Arabidopsis thaliana: one gene and its partner. The protein of the gene in region 2 interacts with the protein of the main gene of each other region in a pairwise test. Each region holds a gene or a part of one and is shown on either strand. Other genes may lie near its edges.

Evidence for each region. The genes of interacting proteins can lie anywhere in the genome.
Region 1: the proteins of GEM (region 2) and CDT1B interact in a two-hybrid assay, tested with the Arabidopsis thaliana proteins (one study listed by BioGRID).

The regions. Positions count from the first base shown.
Region 1 is NC_003074.8:20,248,613-20,256,480, forward strand, and holds CDT1B (CDT1-like protein B), read left to right. Parts: upstream 1-3,199; 5' UTR 3,200-3,272; coding exon 3,273-3,418; intron 3,419-3,506; coding exon 3,507-3,626; intron 3,627-3,775; coding exon 3,776-4,007; intron 4,008-4,106; coding exon 4,107-4,739; intron 4,740-4,855; coding exon 4,856-5,012; intron 5,013-5,101; coding exon 5,102-5,192; intron 5,193-5,337; coding exon 5,338-5,419; 3' UTR 5,420-5,711; downstream 5,712-7,868. Other genes in the region: PHT1;7 (phosphate transporter 1;7), read right to left, coding at 1-1,458; AMP1 (Peptidase M28 family protein), read right to left, coding at 6,240-6,404, 6,485-6,625, 6,713-6,826, 6,903-6,991, 7,108-7,191, 7,294-7,381, 7,457-7,519, 7,617-7,769 and 1 more. UniProt on the Arabidopsis thaliana protein: Member of the pre-replication complex. Regulates endoreduplication. Involved in the coordination of cell and plastid division.
Region 2 is NC_003071.7:9,537,876-9,547,245, forward strand, and holds GEM (GRAM domain family protein), read left to right. Parts: upstream 1-3,252; 5' UTR 3,253-3,647; coding exon 3,648-3,984; intron 3,985-4,084; coding exon 4,085-4,186; intron 4,187-6,059; coding exon 6,060-6,331; coding exon of another isoform or gene 6,332-6,367; exon of another isoform or gene 6,368-6,714; coding exon 6,715-6,903; 3' UTR 6,904-7,163; downstream 7,164-9,370. Other genes in the region: AGP2 (arabinogalactan protein 2), read right to left, coding at 525-920; PFK5 (phosphofructokinase 5), read left to right, coding at 7,795-8,120, 8,199-8,286, 8,358-8,431, 8,514-8,625, 8,729-8,824, 8,912-9,013, 9,093-9,167, 9,288-9,370.

The DNA of each region.
Region 1 (7,868 bases), on a different chromosome or scaffold from region 2:
ACCCAAAACAATGAGGGAGTTCTTGACTCCAATACCTGGAGGATATCCATGCTCTGTCTTGGTCTTGTCAGGACTTTGTGCTAAGTACAAGAACCCAAACGCACCAACCATTGCTCCTAATTTTCCAGAAGCCGCGGAAATTCCATGGCAGGTTGATCTAAACCTAGCCGGGAAGATCTCAGCGGGCACAACGAAAGTTGTTGCATTAGGTCCAAAGTTGGCGAAGAAGAATGTTAGAGAGTACATAGCAACGAATCCGATTCTGTTCTCCTTGTGAGTCCAATGGTCGTAAGGAATGGCGAGAGCGAACATAAAGACGGTCATAAAGAAGAAACCCATCATCTGTATCGCAAATCTACCAATGACGTCAATAAAGGCCACTGTGAACCAGTAACCAGGTACCGTGCTACACAAGGCGATTAGGGTTTGTGCACGTGCAATCTTGAAAACCTCTTGAATTGCGTTCATTGTCTGAGCCGGAGGGATCCATCCGATTGCGCTGAAAATATCTTTCTGGAATAGGTTCTGACTGTAGAAGGCGATGTCGAGTAGGAACCATGTGCTTGTAGTTCCTAGCAAATGAAGGCCATGGCGTTTCATGAATTCCTTGGAAAACAAGCCAAAGGAATTGGACTTATCTTCAGTTCCCTGCTGCTCTGCTTCGATCTCCACTTGCAAAACCTTAGACATGTTTGAAGCCGCTAGTTTCGCGTCCTTGGCCACAAGAGCCGTGTACCGGGCAGTCTCAGGCATCTTGGACCTTGAGTAATACGTCATCGCTGCAGGCAAAGCACCCACCATCAGTATGATCCGCCACACATAATCCGCCTGAGGAACCGTGGATGCCAAGGCATCTATTTGATAGGTTGGAGCTGGAAATTTAGCCTCGAAAGCGGCAGACACGATGATGGCAAAAATCCCCCCGGTCAAGATTCCAAACCCTTGCATAGCAAAAACGGCGGCTATAAACGCACCACGGGTCTTTTTATTAGCGTATTCAGACATAATCGTGGCGGATAACGGATAATCACCACCAATGCCGAAACCAAGCCAGAACCGGAAGAAACATAGTGTAGTCATCACTGTTTTTGGGTTACTCCCAAAGGATAGACCCGAAGCGATGGAACAAAGAACCATGACCATGAGGGTCATACCGTAAACTTTTTTCCTCCCAAGCTTGTCACCGAGCCAGCCAAAGAAGAGCTGGCCTGCGAGTGTACCGCAGAAGGCGACTCCATTAACAGCGGCTGAGACGTTTGGTGGCAGCGTTCCTGGCTTCTCTGAGCCGTCCACGTGATAGTAAATACGGCCAAGAAGCTTTGTGACGAGTGAGATACAAAAAAGGTCGTAAGCGTCGGTGAAGAATCCCATTCCGGCGATTATAATCGCCGTGAAATGGTACCATTGCGTTTTGGCGACGTCGAGTGCGTTTAGCACGTTTAGTTGATCTCCTGCCATTGCTCTCTTTCTCTTTTCCTCTGCGTTAATATTAAGTAACACATATTAAGTAATCAGTATCAAATTCATATACATAAGCTGGTTTCAGACACGTTTTATATGCAGAAAATAAACTATAGTAAAATTTTAATCTATAATCATCAAAAAGGTTTAAAAACTCGTCAAATTCATCAATTTTTATATCTTTTTGGCGTAAGTATTTGTAAAGGTTGACTTGACGCGTGGGAAATGAAAAACGGGACACGAAGTAAGATGGTGACGCACACCGACAAAAGATTTGATCATATTCCATAATGTACAGTTCAATGACAGTCAAAACTTTCCTTTAAATCACAAAATATTTCAGACCACTTATCTTGTTTTTGTTCCAAGAATGTGCCAAAATAAACTGATCCAAGAAAGAAAGTTGTAAACGAATTAAGTTTCAATCTCAGAACTTCAACAACAAAAAAGCTGTATAATCATAGTTTACTGAACAATTTTGTAAAAGACGATTTGAGTTTTAGCTTCCACATACATATTGTCGTCTATCAAAACATTGATCAGGTATCATAGAAAATGTTTCTTAGGAAACTACTCTATTTAATAGACATAACACAAACACATGCTACACAACAGACACAAAAGCTATATAATTTATAAACAACACTAACCAGACGCTTGCATAACCTCATTTCTCATTCAACAACAAGTCATAATAAAAGTTAATAAAAGATTCAATAGCACATAGTTATGAAGAAGACATTAACTTACAGAAAGTTTTTTTTGTTTTTTTGCTTACTTTCTCGCAAACAATCTCTAATATGGGATTGTCTTAAAGAAAGAAAAAAGAAGAAGAAGAGAAGAGTATTAGTTTGTTTGTTTGTTGTTTCTTCAGAAACTGTAAGAGAGAAAGAAAGAAGAAATGGTGTTGTGAAAATGAAAAAGAGGCAGCGTCGGGAACGGCTACTTATACGTAATCATATTTCTGTTTTTGTTTTGACATATTCTTGTGGTATATTCTTCTGACAACGACGTCGCTTTTATTTCTTCTATTTGACTACTTCTCCTCCACCTTATTTTTACTTCTTTTAGGAGACACTATTGGTTCTGTTTTGCTGTTAATTTTTTTTCTGTTTTGGAAATTGTTTTACTGTCTATTCGAATTCTTAAGACTTACGGTTACAAGAAGTCGTTTTTAAGTAATAATTTCGAATATTCTTTGGGGAAAAAATAAGATTCAGACTTCAGACACATGATGAGCTGTTATTTTTATTTTTTTGGTAATAAGTGCAGAATTTGCAAGATATTATTTTGCCATAAAGAGTAGAAAATTGGAAATTGATTCGTTTTAACCCCAGTCTTCTGTGTTTTCTTACATACATTATTTTGTATAACCGTTTTTTAAAAACGTTGAATTTCCCAGAAGTATTTGTAAATATAGTAAAATTCATATTATAAACTAAAGAAGAAAATGATGACAAAATAATAAATAAATTCAGTGAAATTTAAAATAAAAATGTAAAAAAACTTTAACACTTTAAAAATTCAGTGTTATTTGACACAAAATCTTCTATCAATAGGAATACAAATTGTTTTTTTTTCTTTGATCGTTCATAAAACGACGTAGTACCAATTTATGGTTAAGAAAAATAGCGGGAACCAACGTTTAGAATCGGTTTGAGTGACGTGGCAAATATGGGCCCACAGCTATAGATTGCCTTCTTCTTCTTCCACCTCTTGACCCTTCCTTTAATGAGAGCTCAAAACCCTAATTTCTATTAGCCGTTACGCTCTCTAACTTCACATCACTTCCCTAATCTCTCTTTTCAGCAATGAGCTCGTCGTCTAAAATTGATTCAGAGAAGCCAGTTATGGTTTCCGAGTCACTATTTTCTACCAAGACTCCTATCAAAACCGTTAAAAGGCAGATCTTTTCTTCGTCCCCAAAACCTGAATCTGTTATAAAATTGCCCGAAAGGTGAGATTGATTGATTGATTTGTTCATACACTTTTCTCAAATTTGGACTATTCTTTCAATTTTGTTGATTTTTTTATTGGCATTACAGGTTCGAGATTTTGGAGGAATTTTTCAATGGTTTGGATACTGCAATTAGGCTGCTTAAATTAAAGGGTTCGTCAACGACATACGCTAATATATGTCCCAAGATCGAGTATCTTACTAATCGGTAAAGTCATTGACTTTCACGCTTCTTGTTTAAACGGATTCTGTTGAATCTTGAGAGTTTAAAGGATTAAACTTTTTGATGCATATGATCAATCGTGTGTGTGTGTGTGTTGTTTGATTGTATTTGCTTAATGTTGTTTGGGTCTACAGGATCTTCTCGTATGATCATTTGGCTCAGATGAAGCATATTTATCCGGAAGCTATTGAACTAAAGAGAGTTTTGAAGTTTGTTGAAGACACTTGTTGTATGAAACCTAGGCTTCATATTAAATTAAATACCGATGCAATTGTAGTTGAGGATACCATTTGTGGAACTAAATACATGGAACTTAGAAAGGTGTTTCACTCAAAGCTTGTAGATTTTCGCAAAGCTCATCCTAAGGTACATTATTAGGCTTATCTAATCTATTAATTAGTTGTAGCTTTTTGAATAATGCTTTTATATCTGATGGATTCTCCATCTATTGTTTTCTGTATGCAGGACGAAATTCCGAAAGAACTGCTTCCTGAACCATTCAATTCTCCTCAAAGGGATAGTTATTCAGGTATAGTAAGCGTAGGCTTAGGAGAACCTAAACTTGAAGTTGGAGGGTTTGATGTTCATATGGAGGAGATAGAGCAAGAAGAACAAGATGTTAACAAAGTCATTCCTGATTCTACTTTGTCACACATAGAATCAAGAATAGTTGAAACCCCAGTCAAAGATTTATCCACTCCCTCCAAAGACTTGTCCACGCCAATCCGGCTCATGAGTGCTACACCGACGTTGCAGCTATCTAAAAGATGTATTGAGTTGACTCCAGAGGGTGGTGATGATAACTCTCTTAGATCAACAAATAGTCTAGCAAGGGGTCCATCTCGCAGTCTGAATTTTGATACTTTTGAGGAAGATGCAATTGAGAAAGATGATATTGGTAACGAATCTGATGATAAAGGAATCAACTATGAAGAAGATGGCCTTCTCCAGTCAGTAAAAGGTCCATCTCGCAGTTTGAATTTTGACACTCTTGAGGAAGAAACAATTGTGAAAGATGACATTAGTAACGAATCTGGTGATGAAAAAAGCAACTATGAAGGTGATAATGCTTCTGATGATGATAGCCTCCTTCAGTCAGTAAGTGATGCTTTTTCCTGCAACAATTTTGCTTTCACATTGTTTCCGGATATATTCGTTTTCAGTTGCAAACAGACATCCTTACTTACCATTGTGTGTGTGTTTGTGTCTTGCAGATGATAGAGAGACCAAAGACTGAACCCGAGAAGCACAATTTGCCACAGCTTGTTAATTTGATTCATAGAGTGTTTCACTCAACAAATCGGACAGTCATCACGAAGGAGGAGCTTCTTTACAAGATTATTGCAAACCAAATCAATATAACTGATAGAAGTAGGGACAGTTAATATTGAATGTTTGATAATTTCCCTGCCTTTTCTTCCTTGACAGGCTCACAGTTTCTTTCTTACTTGCATTGCCAGGGGAAGTGGAAGAACAATTAAGTCTGATGTTGCAATTGGTCCCGGATTGGATATCTGAAACAAAAGCATCTTCTGGGGATCTTCTTGTTCGGTGAGTATGTTCCACCAAAAATGATTATGATTTTCTTTATTTGGCTCTAAGTTTCACAAATGAAACAAAAAAATACATTTTGTATTGAAAATATCTAATTTGCTTCTTGAGGCTCTAATACTGGTATATCTTTTGCTTTTTGCAGCATCAATAAAATGTCGACTGCCGAAACAGTACGTGCAAGACTTGAAGAAGCAACTTCACATGACATTTCACTTATCTACTGAAAAACCATAAAACTGAAACTTTTTTTTGTGTTTTCATCCTCTTCACCAATTCAGTTATCATTATTCTTCACAAATATCTTCTTTCTAAGCTGGTCCAACCTATAAACTTGTAACATTCGTTTTACATAATTCGAGAATAATCAGGAGACAAAACACCATTTGATGATTATTAATTCTACTACATGCAGAAGAACTGTATTTGTTGTTAACTGTGGTCTGTGGATACCAATTTAAGAAGCTCTTGCTACAGAGAAAAATGTGTAAGACTCAGATTGAGAATAAGGTTTGGCAAAGGAACAAGATTCGCTAGGTCTTCGTCGAATCGACAAATTTTGAAAAGAGTAGTACTAAAGCAAAAGAACAAAACCAAAGGGAAACACAGTCATCACTCTCCAATCATATGACATCTTAGAAGATAGATTGAGAAGTGTTTGAATGTAAAGGTAAATGAACCATACACTTTTGAAAGAAAAGATTCTAGCTCATCTTAAAATAATTAGATTGTTAAAAGGATTAAACATTTGAAACCGAAAAGCATACTCTAAAAATAAAGATAGTGATTGTTCTTTCTTTCTATATTACTCGAAGAAAGTATTTGTCCTTTGCAATGATGTTTAAGATGTTGATATCATACCCAAGGTTACAGTATAAATTAGTTTTATTAACCCAAAAAAAGAATTAAAAAAAAATGTTAGTCTTGAATATGATTAGATTATAGTGTTTGTTTCATAAATGGTTATGAAAATTAGTTCATAAGACGTTATTCTTCTACAATCTATAGTCACAATATATACACAAAAGAGAACTCTTTCAGATTTTCTCATGTGAAACCTCCTTTAAGAGCTTTGCTTGCTCTCTGAATCGCTCTTGCGACTCTCCATATCTCGTGCTCAATTATTCCCTCTGATGCGTTCATCGCAATGGCATCTGCTATTCCCGGGAAGAATCCTAGCTTGCTCTCTGGCTCAGCCGCCGGTCCATACACCTATGCATAAAACACAAACAAGGTCTCATGAGGTTTGCAAAATTGGTGAAAATCTGACTGAATAAAAAAGTTTTACTCACAAGATGCTTGAACCATTCCTTCCCTTTGATCCCTTCTGCATCCAAAAACCCTCTTTCTACAAGCATCAACCTGTCATTTAGCTCTCTTCTCTTCGCCGCTGCTGCTACATCATTTTTGCTATATGATTTTCCCTTTAACTTCTGCAAATCAATCACCAAAACATGTATAGGTGAGACAAAGAAGCAAAAGATTGAGGTTATACGTTAATTAGCAAAACCATTAGAAACCTTTGCTTCATCTGCGGCTTCTTTGGCAACCAAAGAGAACTCTTGTATCGCCATGCTTAAGGGATTTACAGAGACTTTCCCTTCTAAGAGCTTGCTCAGTTTATCTCTATGTGCCTGAATCATTACACAAAACATAAACTCAGTTTTCCTACTATTCTACGTATAAAAGGTGTGAGTAAAAGAAATCTACCTGCAATTGGTCTGCATAAGAGATGTAATCGAATGGTATGAGTGGCTCATCAGCCAAGAGAATTCCTAAAAGTCCCCAAATTCCAGCCACTGATAAATATAGAAAGCAAAGAAGAGAGAGTGAATTCTCTTCATAACATCCATGAAAAACAGAACAAATAACTAAAAGATAATAATAGATCAAAAGAGAGAAGTGAAATCTTTACTAGCAACATGACGGTGAAACAATGGATCTGCGTTGTGGATCATCCAATCATAGGAGTCAAATGCAGTGTGATAGACAGGATAATCTGAAAGAAAGGATAAACAACATACATTATTGGTATTACTTGCATTAAAACATCACATTATAGAATATTTTGCAAGACTTAAGGAATCATGTTCTCATTGACCTGCTCCATAGTACATGTCTATAGACGGTATCCCGGCATGATGAAGAAAACCGGAAAAATCAGAATCTACTCTACTTAGCCTCTGAATCTGCAGTTCATTAAAACATTACATAGTTTTACATTACAAAGACAATGTATGAGCTCTTTTGAATAGTCTACTCACAATGTTATTTTGAGACTTAAATGTCTCTTCCACTGTCAAGCCTACTGCATCAGGATCCTGTACCTGACCACGCATAGATGAATACGAGAGACTAAGACATTTCCTACGAGTATAAGTTTTCAACAACGCTTGAGAATGCCCCGGTTATTAGTATTCTTACCAGCTTCAAGACATCGACAAGAAGACCGTCTAATTGAGGAGTTGCACCAGCAAAAAAACCAGAGCCTTGGACTGCACAATCTACATTAAGATAAGCAACAGCACTTGCACCTAAGTTAAGAACATTTTCTTCAATCCATTCAGTTGATCCAATCTATACAACAAAAAAGAGAACACAAGTAATTTAGTGAAGCATCATATATAGATTCAACTTTTCGAAGTTACTAATTTACTAACCATTCCAAATTCTTCT
Region 2 (9,370 bases):
AAACATTAATACGGAATGAAAGATGTGCGAGTCCTCTTTTTAAGCCCACTAGAATATAATGGGCTATTTACTAACGAGCTTGTGTTGGTTGACGAACATGAGCAAGCCTCTACATGAGCAAGACAATATCAGTTCAATATATGGGCCAACGACAATTTAGGCATCCCGTATATTAAAGATGAGGATTTAACCCAAATCCTAGTTTTAAAGGTTGGATCGACTTAGTTTCGGACATGTTACTTGGAAGGGCCTGGCATGGTTACAACGACCCATCTACGCTCTTAAAATTTGTTATTGAAAAACACATAACAAAGCGAAAGTACATATAAAAGAATTATTTTGATTTATATAAAAGAATAGATATTACACCATATTGTCTCTATGTTCATCTCATCCCCAACAACAACAAGTGTCCACGTCAAAATGATAATAGTAGTAAATAACAAATATGAACGAGAAGAAGTAATTAAAATAAAACAGTAATAGAAAGCAGAGGATCCAAATCCACCAAACTCAAAAGCTCTCTAAGCCAAAACGACAGCGTATAAAGCTCCGGCAACAGCTGTTCCCACAAGGAAAGCTTTGTTAGCCCATGCGGCACTTGGTGCATCAGCAGCACCGTCTGGTCCTGGAGCTGGAGACGAAGTTGGAGTTAATCCAGCGGAAGGACCGGGAGCAGGAGCATCGGTCTGAGGAGGAGAAGCAACCGGGGATGTTGTTGGAGAAGTGGTAGGAGCTGGAGTTGGCTCGTTAACTGGAACAGGCGGTGAAGCAATTGGTGAAGGTGTTTCTGCTGTCACTGGAGGAAGCGCCGTTGGTGGAGGAGTAACGGTGGTTGGTGCTGGTGCAGGAGCTTGAGCGAGACATGAAGTGGCCAAGAAACCAAGAAAGATCAAAGCTTGCATTGCCTTAGAATTCATTTTTAGATTATCTCTTCTTTGTCTGAATCTTGAAACTCTCTCTGTTTAATGTTATAAACTCTTCTTTATTTTTGTTGATGGTGTAGAACAATGAGAGAAGAGAGCTCTATATATACGCGATGGTTGGGAAATAGTTAATAATTAATTATTGGTGTGACACTAATCATGCGAACCACATACAAAAATACAACATGGCTTAGCTTTTCAATGGCGGTTTAAAATAATTGTTGTCTTTTTTCTTTCTTAAACTTGACGTGTTTGAGTTTTTGAAGTTTTCTTGAAGAATCATCTACATGAAGGAGCACCAAACGGATACACAGATCTCTGCCACGTGTTTTCTCTTAACGATGTTAATTCTGAGATCAGTTAAGTATTGACACGTGTTATGTTTATATTGGTTTTTAGATATGATTTGACTCTGCGTAATTTGCTTTTTGGTTAACCGCGTTACAATGCCAGGCGTAAATTAACTTGAGTTTTGCCTAATGTTTCGTGGAAATAACGCGTTTACGAGTAAATAATTAACATTATACGAAAAATGGGTCATTATTTAAGTTCATATTCATATATAGTATGTCTATCAAAATTTTCAACTGTTAATTATTTTAGATGTATATTATAATCGTTTCTGTTGAAAAAAGTTATTTTATATGTTTCGTTGTAATGTGTTATCTGGACTGATTATACGAGCAAGGGCTGGCAAAAGCTGTCATATTTTCATGTTAATTAAATTAATAAATTAGTAGATCATTATAGTTATATTTATGGTTTTTATTTTGTTGCAATATTCTAGTGACAGATTACTTGGTGGCCATTATTGTTACAAACTTACAACGAAACAGTCAAGCAAACGCGCATTGTTCATATTCTACAGCTATATCATTATTACGGTGTGAAATGCTTCATTTCAATAAGAACCTACCTAACAATTATTTATATTCCTTGAATAATAAATTGTTAGACTCTTGCTTTGACCTTAATATGCATTGTATCAGTATCTTCTTCATAAGAAAATTATAAGTTGAAAACTTTTTTCCTGCCAGCTTTGACCAAATGAATATATTAAAAAGTTACCAATAAAGAAATTTTAATTAATTTGATTAGTAGTACAAGTTTGGACGAGGCCTTGGCAGGCCTCTCTTTCTAGCTTTTCGTGGATGTGGCCTAACCTCGTAACTTTTCGTATTTTATCAAGCCCAAAGTAGCTTTCCGTTATCACTTATATGAAAAAATCTAAGATCTAAGGGGAGTTATTGATTAGTATTTTAATTTATAATCTATATACATTAAAGAAAATAGAACATCTTGAAACCTCTAAATAAATACACCGTGCTTAAAAAACTTCACGAGATATTCAATTGATTTTTTTTTGTTTAGAATATTAAATAATCAATACTCCATTAGATGTCATTTACCCAAAAAAAAAAAAAAAAAACTCCATTAGATGTTATTATTGTAGATTGTACCAATAAACTCTGATATATAAGTCCAACAAAACTCCATTAGCAGTAGTGTTGGTAAGCTCCCCATATTCTTGGGCTTTAGTTTCAGAAGATTTCATGTTATCCGTCGGCTTAGTTTATGGAATTATCTTGTTAATCGCCACTTTTATATAATTTCATATATAATCTATCTTTTAGTGCAAAAAAAGTAAAAAAAATAATTTCAACGAAACTCAAGTTTGGAACCGCAATCCAATTATTTTAATCAAATCATTGACTACCGAAATATTTTTCCACCTTCAAACAATCTAAAAAGAAAAATAATTTTTTTGATCAATTCACCAACGTTATTTAGTTTATAAAACATGATAAAAGATCCTCCAAAAATATAAAACCTAGACTTTCCTTAAATTTTAAGAAGTGTACTTTTGTTCACTCAATTTATTATTTCTCTGCCAAATTCTCTATATTCTTCACACGTAATTACTATCTAGTTCTCGTCCATTTCCTTTATCATTTTCTCATTGTCTTGTAAATTGACCACTCTAATGATCTCTATTATTTCCTCTAGAATAGAGTATGATTTATCTCCAATCTATCACTCTATATATAGAGTAATCCTACAATTTTCTCTATTTTAAAGTAACATATAGAATGAGGATGGAGAGAATGTACTATATCATAGAGTTTTAGAGGACAAAATTAAAGTGGGATTGGAGATGCTAAGTATGTAAATTTGGTTCGGTTAGCTATCATAAGGGACCGAGTGCTATATGACAATGTATTATAGGTAAAAGAAGTGATATTGTCTCCTGTAGATTTAGTGTCCTTAACCGTTCATCAAATCTATGTGAATCTCAGTAGTAGGTAGTTGGGTGAAGAACGTGTGAAGTCTATACAACTCATATTACTCCTCAAACATTTTCTGATAATATATTGCATACATTGAACCTCTTTTTAAATTCAAAACATCAAAGGTATTGATCTTACATAGAAAAAAACATAGACTCTTATGTTCATGTCCCTATTGATCTTAGTCATACCTCATAATTGTCTAACAAAGAAAATCAAAGGTATCATAATTATCATCATATGTAATGTAGGGAACAAATCTGTATTTACTGGTATATATATATAACACAAAAAAAATTACCAAAGAAAAAAAAAGAGCAAAGGGAACGATACCATTAGTCCCAATACCAATCCTTGCAAAATTCAAACTCAAACAAACCGTTTATCTCACGCGCCGCCGTACTCGCCACGATCCGTCTTTGGAGACCAATTTATGGAGCCGCCGAAGGGAGATACCGTAGTGAAGACTGAGGTCCCGGTGAAGGATCCATCGCTAAGCGTCGTCGATTCGAAAACGAAGGGAGTCGAGGATGCGAACACTGAGATAGCCTTGTCCGATGAGGTTGAAATCGAGACGAAGGGAAGCGATTCGACACCGGTGAAAGCTCCGAGTCGAACATCGTCTGGATCGAAGAAATCTGTACATTGGAGCCCCGAATTGGTGTCTGGATCTCAGGAACCGGATCAGAAAGCTGCATCGTCTTCTTCGGCTGGATCTAATCCGTATATTGCTCGTTCTCCAGCTGAGACTTCAGATGCTTCGTTGAAAGGTAAGAGTGTTGTGATCGTAGCGGTGAGAATTGAGATTGTGTATTGTAGCCTTATTTACCTTTTTGTGGATCTCTCTCTGTGTCTGTGAATTGGATTCAGATACGATGGAGACTGTGAAAGGAGTGCTTGGTAGATGGGGAAAGAGGGTTGCAGAAGCAGCAAAGAAGACGGAGAGCCTTGCCGGGAACACATGGCAACACCGTAAGTTTTCGTTTTTTTTTAATATCAATTTGTAATCAAATTCAATGCTTAGAGTTCTGTGGAATCAAGAATTGTTCATAGGGTATTGTTAAAAGTAGCTTGTTCTACTCAAAGTCTACATTTTTTTAGAGAAACATAAAAGATTTTTTTTGCTGTATTATGGTTTTCTTCCTTTGTTGTATGTTGGTGTTTAGGTTAGTACTGGTTTTAGGATTGAGTAACTATCATCATATTCGATAGTGCTCAAGTGTATTTTTATGATCTTCAATTCTTTGATCTCTTTTCAACATGTTGTTGCTATAAAATGGGACGTTCTTACTGGCTTGTGTTGATAAATTTTCTTAATTACAAACAGAACACTCCCCTGAATTTCAGTCTTTAGGCAGTACATTAAAAGACAATGACCTTTGATCTTGTTGAGTTCTTGCTAAGAATAGTAAACGGACTATTTTAGTTATGGAATCATATTGTGTTGGAAGAAATATCTCGGTTTTTCTCAGGTTTATCTTCATAAATAGTTTAGAATCACAATTGTTCTACGTGGATCTCTTGCCTTCGATTTGTCTCCAGAACCAAGATTAATACCACATCTGCTCGGTATTAGAGGATGATCTTTTGATATTGTCAAGTTTGTGATCACAGTAATTAAAAAATCTCTGTCTTGGATTTGAACAAGAAGATTCTCCCAGTTTCAGTCTGTCAAACTTTGTAGCTTGACCCATGACAAGTGTTTATAAGAGAGTCGGAATAACCTTAAAGCTGTTTTTTCTCTGTGTGATGTTTGCAGTCAAGTTTTTAGTAGATTGTCTGGTAACAAATAAAATATCAGATTGAAATTAGGTGCTCTGGATTAGGTATTAGTTGCCATGTTACTTCTTTGGAACTTGGAATTTTAATGCCTTTGGTGAACATTAATCAAAAACGCCATTTGACGAATTAAGAGCTGGATATTAGTTTGACCTTCGGACATGGTCATTCGTGATGTAGTCTAAGTAGTAGGGAATTAGCTCCTAGTTTTGAGATCAAAAAGCCTTTTTGCGGACTGAAGAATTACCACTCTAATCAAGTGATGTTCTTGGTGGTTTGGTGAATGTTTGAGCAATGGAGGTGGAGGGAAAATGTCTGATGACTAGCTAAAACTATAGAAATTGGGGAATTAAGAAAGTTTACACGATTAAATTTATGTTTAGAGTGTTCATGTGTGAACTCTATAACTCATGTCTTCCTTGATTGGGTGTGTTTTAGTTGTCCGCTTCTCTAGCATATTCTATTCAGGATTCGTTTGAGTGATCTCTCTTACAATCTTCTACTTTAGTCAGTGAGAACTGCTCCAGTTTTTTTGTATTTCATATCATGTTTGAATCGATCTTCTATGTTTAGCATTGTTGGAATGGATGTTTGCGCTCAAATATAGTAGATCTTTTGTTAAAGAAGTGAAATATTGAATAGATGCTCCGGAACAGATAGAGTTGCTATATTGCTTTTAGGAACTTGGATTAGATAATACATTTGGATGAACATTAAAAAAAAAAGAAGAAACAGCCTTTGGTGAGTTAGGAGCTAGAACTGTGGATATGAGTTTCAGCTTGGGACATGGTCGTGTTATGGATAGAGATGAGTTCCTGGGTAAGTGTTTGAGTAATGGAGTTTGAGGGAAAATGTCTAATGCCTGCATTTACATAGTATGGACGTAAAGTTTGAATTTGGGTGACTGAGAAAAATAACATGATTCAATATACGTTTCAATTGTTTGTGTGTGAACTCGCAATTCATCTCTTCCTTGATTGGATGTGCTTTACTTGTTTGATTCGCTAGCATTTTCATTCAAGATCTATCTGATTGATATATCTTATAATCTTCTCTTTTTAATCAGTGAGAACTGCTCCGAGTTTTGCGGATGCTGCAATGGGAAGAATTGCACAGAGTACAAAGGTCTTTGCAGAAGGAGGATATGAGAAGATATTCCGACAAACCTTTGAGACAGATCCCGAAGAACAGTTGCTAAATTCTTTTGCATGTTACTTGTCAACATCAGCTGGCCCAGTTATGGGAGTTCTATATATATCCAGTGCCAAACTTGCTTACTGTAGTGACAACCCTCTCTCCTATAAAAACGGTGATCAAACCGAATGGAGCTATTACAAGGTAATGTGTCCTACACCTTTCATTTCAGAATTATAGCCATTTTGAAGACACCATATTATTACTTTTGTGATCATTAACTGTTCGAAATCTGTTGGCTGGTTATCTGGTCAATGCTTGAGACAATGTTTCGTTATAATTTGTTAGTAGCATCAACTAAGGAGCCTTCGTAGAGTGATTCATTTGGATAGAAAAATAATCTGGACTTGTTAACGGAATCATAAATCCATGGACTTTTTTTTTGTGATAGTAATAACATGATTGCATCAGCTTCTCATCTCTTGTTTCATCGAAACCAATCCGATACGATTGCATTTGCTTATTCATTGTAATAAGCTTTGCTACATTGATGATTGATGAACACTTTGTGTCTTCTTCTTAAATAGGTAGTAATTCCATTACATCAACTTAAAGCAGTGAATCCATCAGCGAGCATAGTCAATCCTGCAGAGAAGTACATACAGGTGATTTCGGTAGACAATCATGAGTTTTGGTTCATGGGTTTTTTAAACTACGACGGCGCTGTCACGTCTCTGCAAGATTCTTTGCAAGCCGGTGCTTTAAGGTCGGTGTGATACATAACTGGATGACTGATGACCATAAAAGCATGTTGATCTCCACCTCTTCTTGCTTAGTCATATCAGAAGACTCAAATTTTTACATTATTTTGCATTTAATCTCAATATCCTATTTACTACAGAAACTAGCTGAATTTTACAAATTTACTTTAAAATGTTTTATCTTTTGATATTTTTATGAGAAGACAGCTTAATTGCAATTTATTCAATAGCAGTTGCTTTTAGTTTCTATGTTGAAGAACTCTGAGGTAGTAGGATCAACAAATGTGAATTCAACACGTCCCAGGGACAACGGACTATTAGAACCGATTCAAATTGCTTCCACCAGTGACAACTGAAAAATATACCGAACCAGTAGATCTAAGAAACGAAATTTACTCGCACCCATGTACGAAATTGCCGCACAACTTTTGATATTTACTAATTTGCCCCAATAAAGTTCAAAATACACAACTCCTTTGACTTCTGCAAAGCATCAGCTCGAAAAGTATTTTTTTTTTTGTGTTAAAGGGTTTATCAGCTCGAAAAGTATTTCATTATCTTTTCATCGAATCAGATTCAACTTACGAATTATAAGAGCATCTGATTAGGATTTATTCCAAAGATCACTAACTAAATTCGAAATTTATTCACAGAAGTTCTAGTCACTAATTTTGTTGAAGACGATTTTTACATATTTAGAGGCGTGATAAATATTACAGACAAAAAATGAAGTTAGATTTTGTTTCGTACTTCTTCGTTAATCTAAAGAGCCAAAGTACTGTGATCTAACACTGTCGTTGTGTTTTTTTTGTTTTGTAAATTTGGCAAAAACTCCCTCCAAAAAAAAACTTAGTTGACTGAGAAAACTAAGCAAAAAGATCTCCGATCGGAATCTTCTTATTCGCCATGGATGCTCTTTCTCAGGCGATCAGTTCCGGGATCTCCGTTCCTTACAAGAACAATTCTTCTTCTCTCGTTCCTTCTCACGGACTCACCTCCTTAATCCTCCGGAAATCGAGATCTCCGGTGAATCCCTCATCACGATCTCGCGTCTCGGTGCGAGCTTCGGAGATTCAACACAGCAAAACCTCAGCTTCATCGATCGATCTCAGCGATCCAGATTGGAAATTAAAGTATGAGAAAGATTTCGAGCAACGATTCAGCATACCTCACATCACTGATGTCTTACCTGATGCTGAAGCCATTCGTTCAACGTTTTGTCTTAAGATGAGGTCAGATCACTACTTTAGCTTGAGGTACCAGATTCTGGGTTTTGGAAAATCTATTAAATTGGAGTTTTGATAATTTAGGTCTCCGACGGAAGATTTTGTTGGTGGTTACCCTTCTGATGAAGAATGGCATGGATACATTAATAACAATGATAGAGTTCTTCTCAAGGTTTAACTTCAGATTTTTATTTTTATTTTACTGAACTTTGTAAGATTGATTTGGCTTGTTTTGGAAATTAGGTTATTAGTTACTCCTCACCTACTTCTGCTGGAGCTGAGTGCCTTGATCATGACTGTTCTTGGGTTGAACAATGGTAAACATTTGGACTTTCTTTGAGTTTGGATTTGTGGTTCTTTTTTGGTTTTTGGTTATAATTGGTGTGATGGGATCTTTAGGATTCACCGTGCTGGTCCGAGGGAGAAGATATACTTCAGGCCGGAAGAAGTGAAAGCTGCGATTATCACTTGTGGTGGCCTTTGCCCTGGTCTCAATGATGTCATCAGACATGTGAGTTTGTATCTGAAACTTTGGCATTATAGAAACAGTGTGTGTGTGTGTGTGAAGTCCTACTAAAGACCTTTGATTGTTGTGTTGTATGGATACATTGCAGATTGTCATTACTCTTGAGATTTATGGTGTTAAGAACATTGTGGGGATTCCTTTCGGTTATCGAGGCTTCTCTGATAAAGATCTAACTGAAATGCCGGTATTGTTCGATTGTGCTCTTTCGAGAAAAAGGAACCCGAATCTCTGTTTCTGTTTTGGCTTATGGTTTGCTTTTTTGTGCTTTCAGTTATCAAGGAAAGTGGTTCAGAATATTCATTTATCTGGAGGAAGTTTGCTTGGAGTTTCACGTGGAGGCCCGAGTGTGAGTGAAATTGTCGACAGCATGGAGGTATCATTTAGTTTTTTTCAGTCCTTAAGGAACTTTATGAGATCACAGATTCTGAATTCTGAAAATTGAATTTACTTAGGAGAGAGGAATCAACATGCTTTTCGTGCTCGGTGGAAACGGAACTCATGCTGGCGCCAACGCTATACACAATGAGGTTCGTTACTTAACACTTGAAACTAACTAAGTGTAGTTCGTGTGAAGATATTTTTTCTTTTTCTTTTTCTTTAGTTTGTCTAGTTTGATTTACCATTCACATTCTTGCTTTCAATTCTAGTGCCGCAAAAGAAAGATAAAGGTAGCTGTAGTTGGTGTGCCAAAAACCATCGACAATGATATTTTACATATGGATAAAACTTT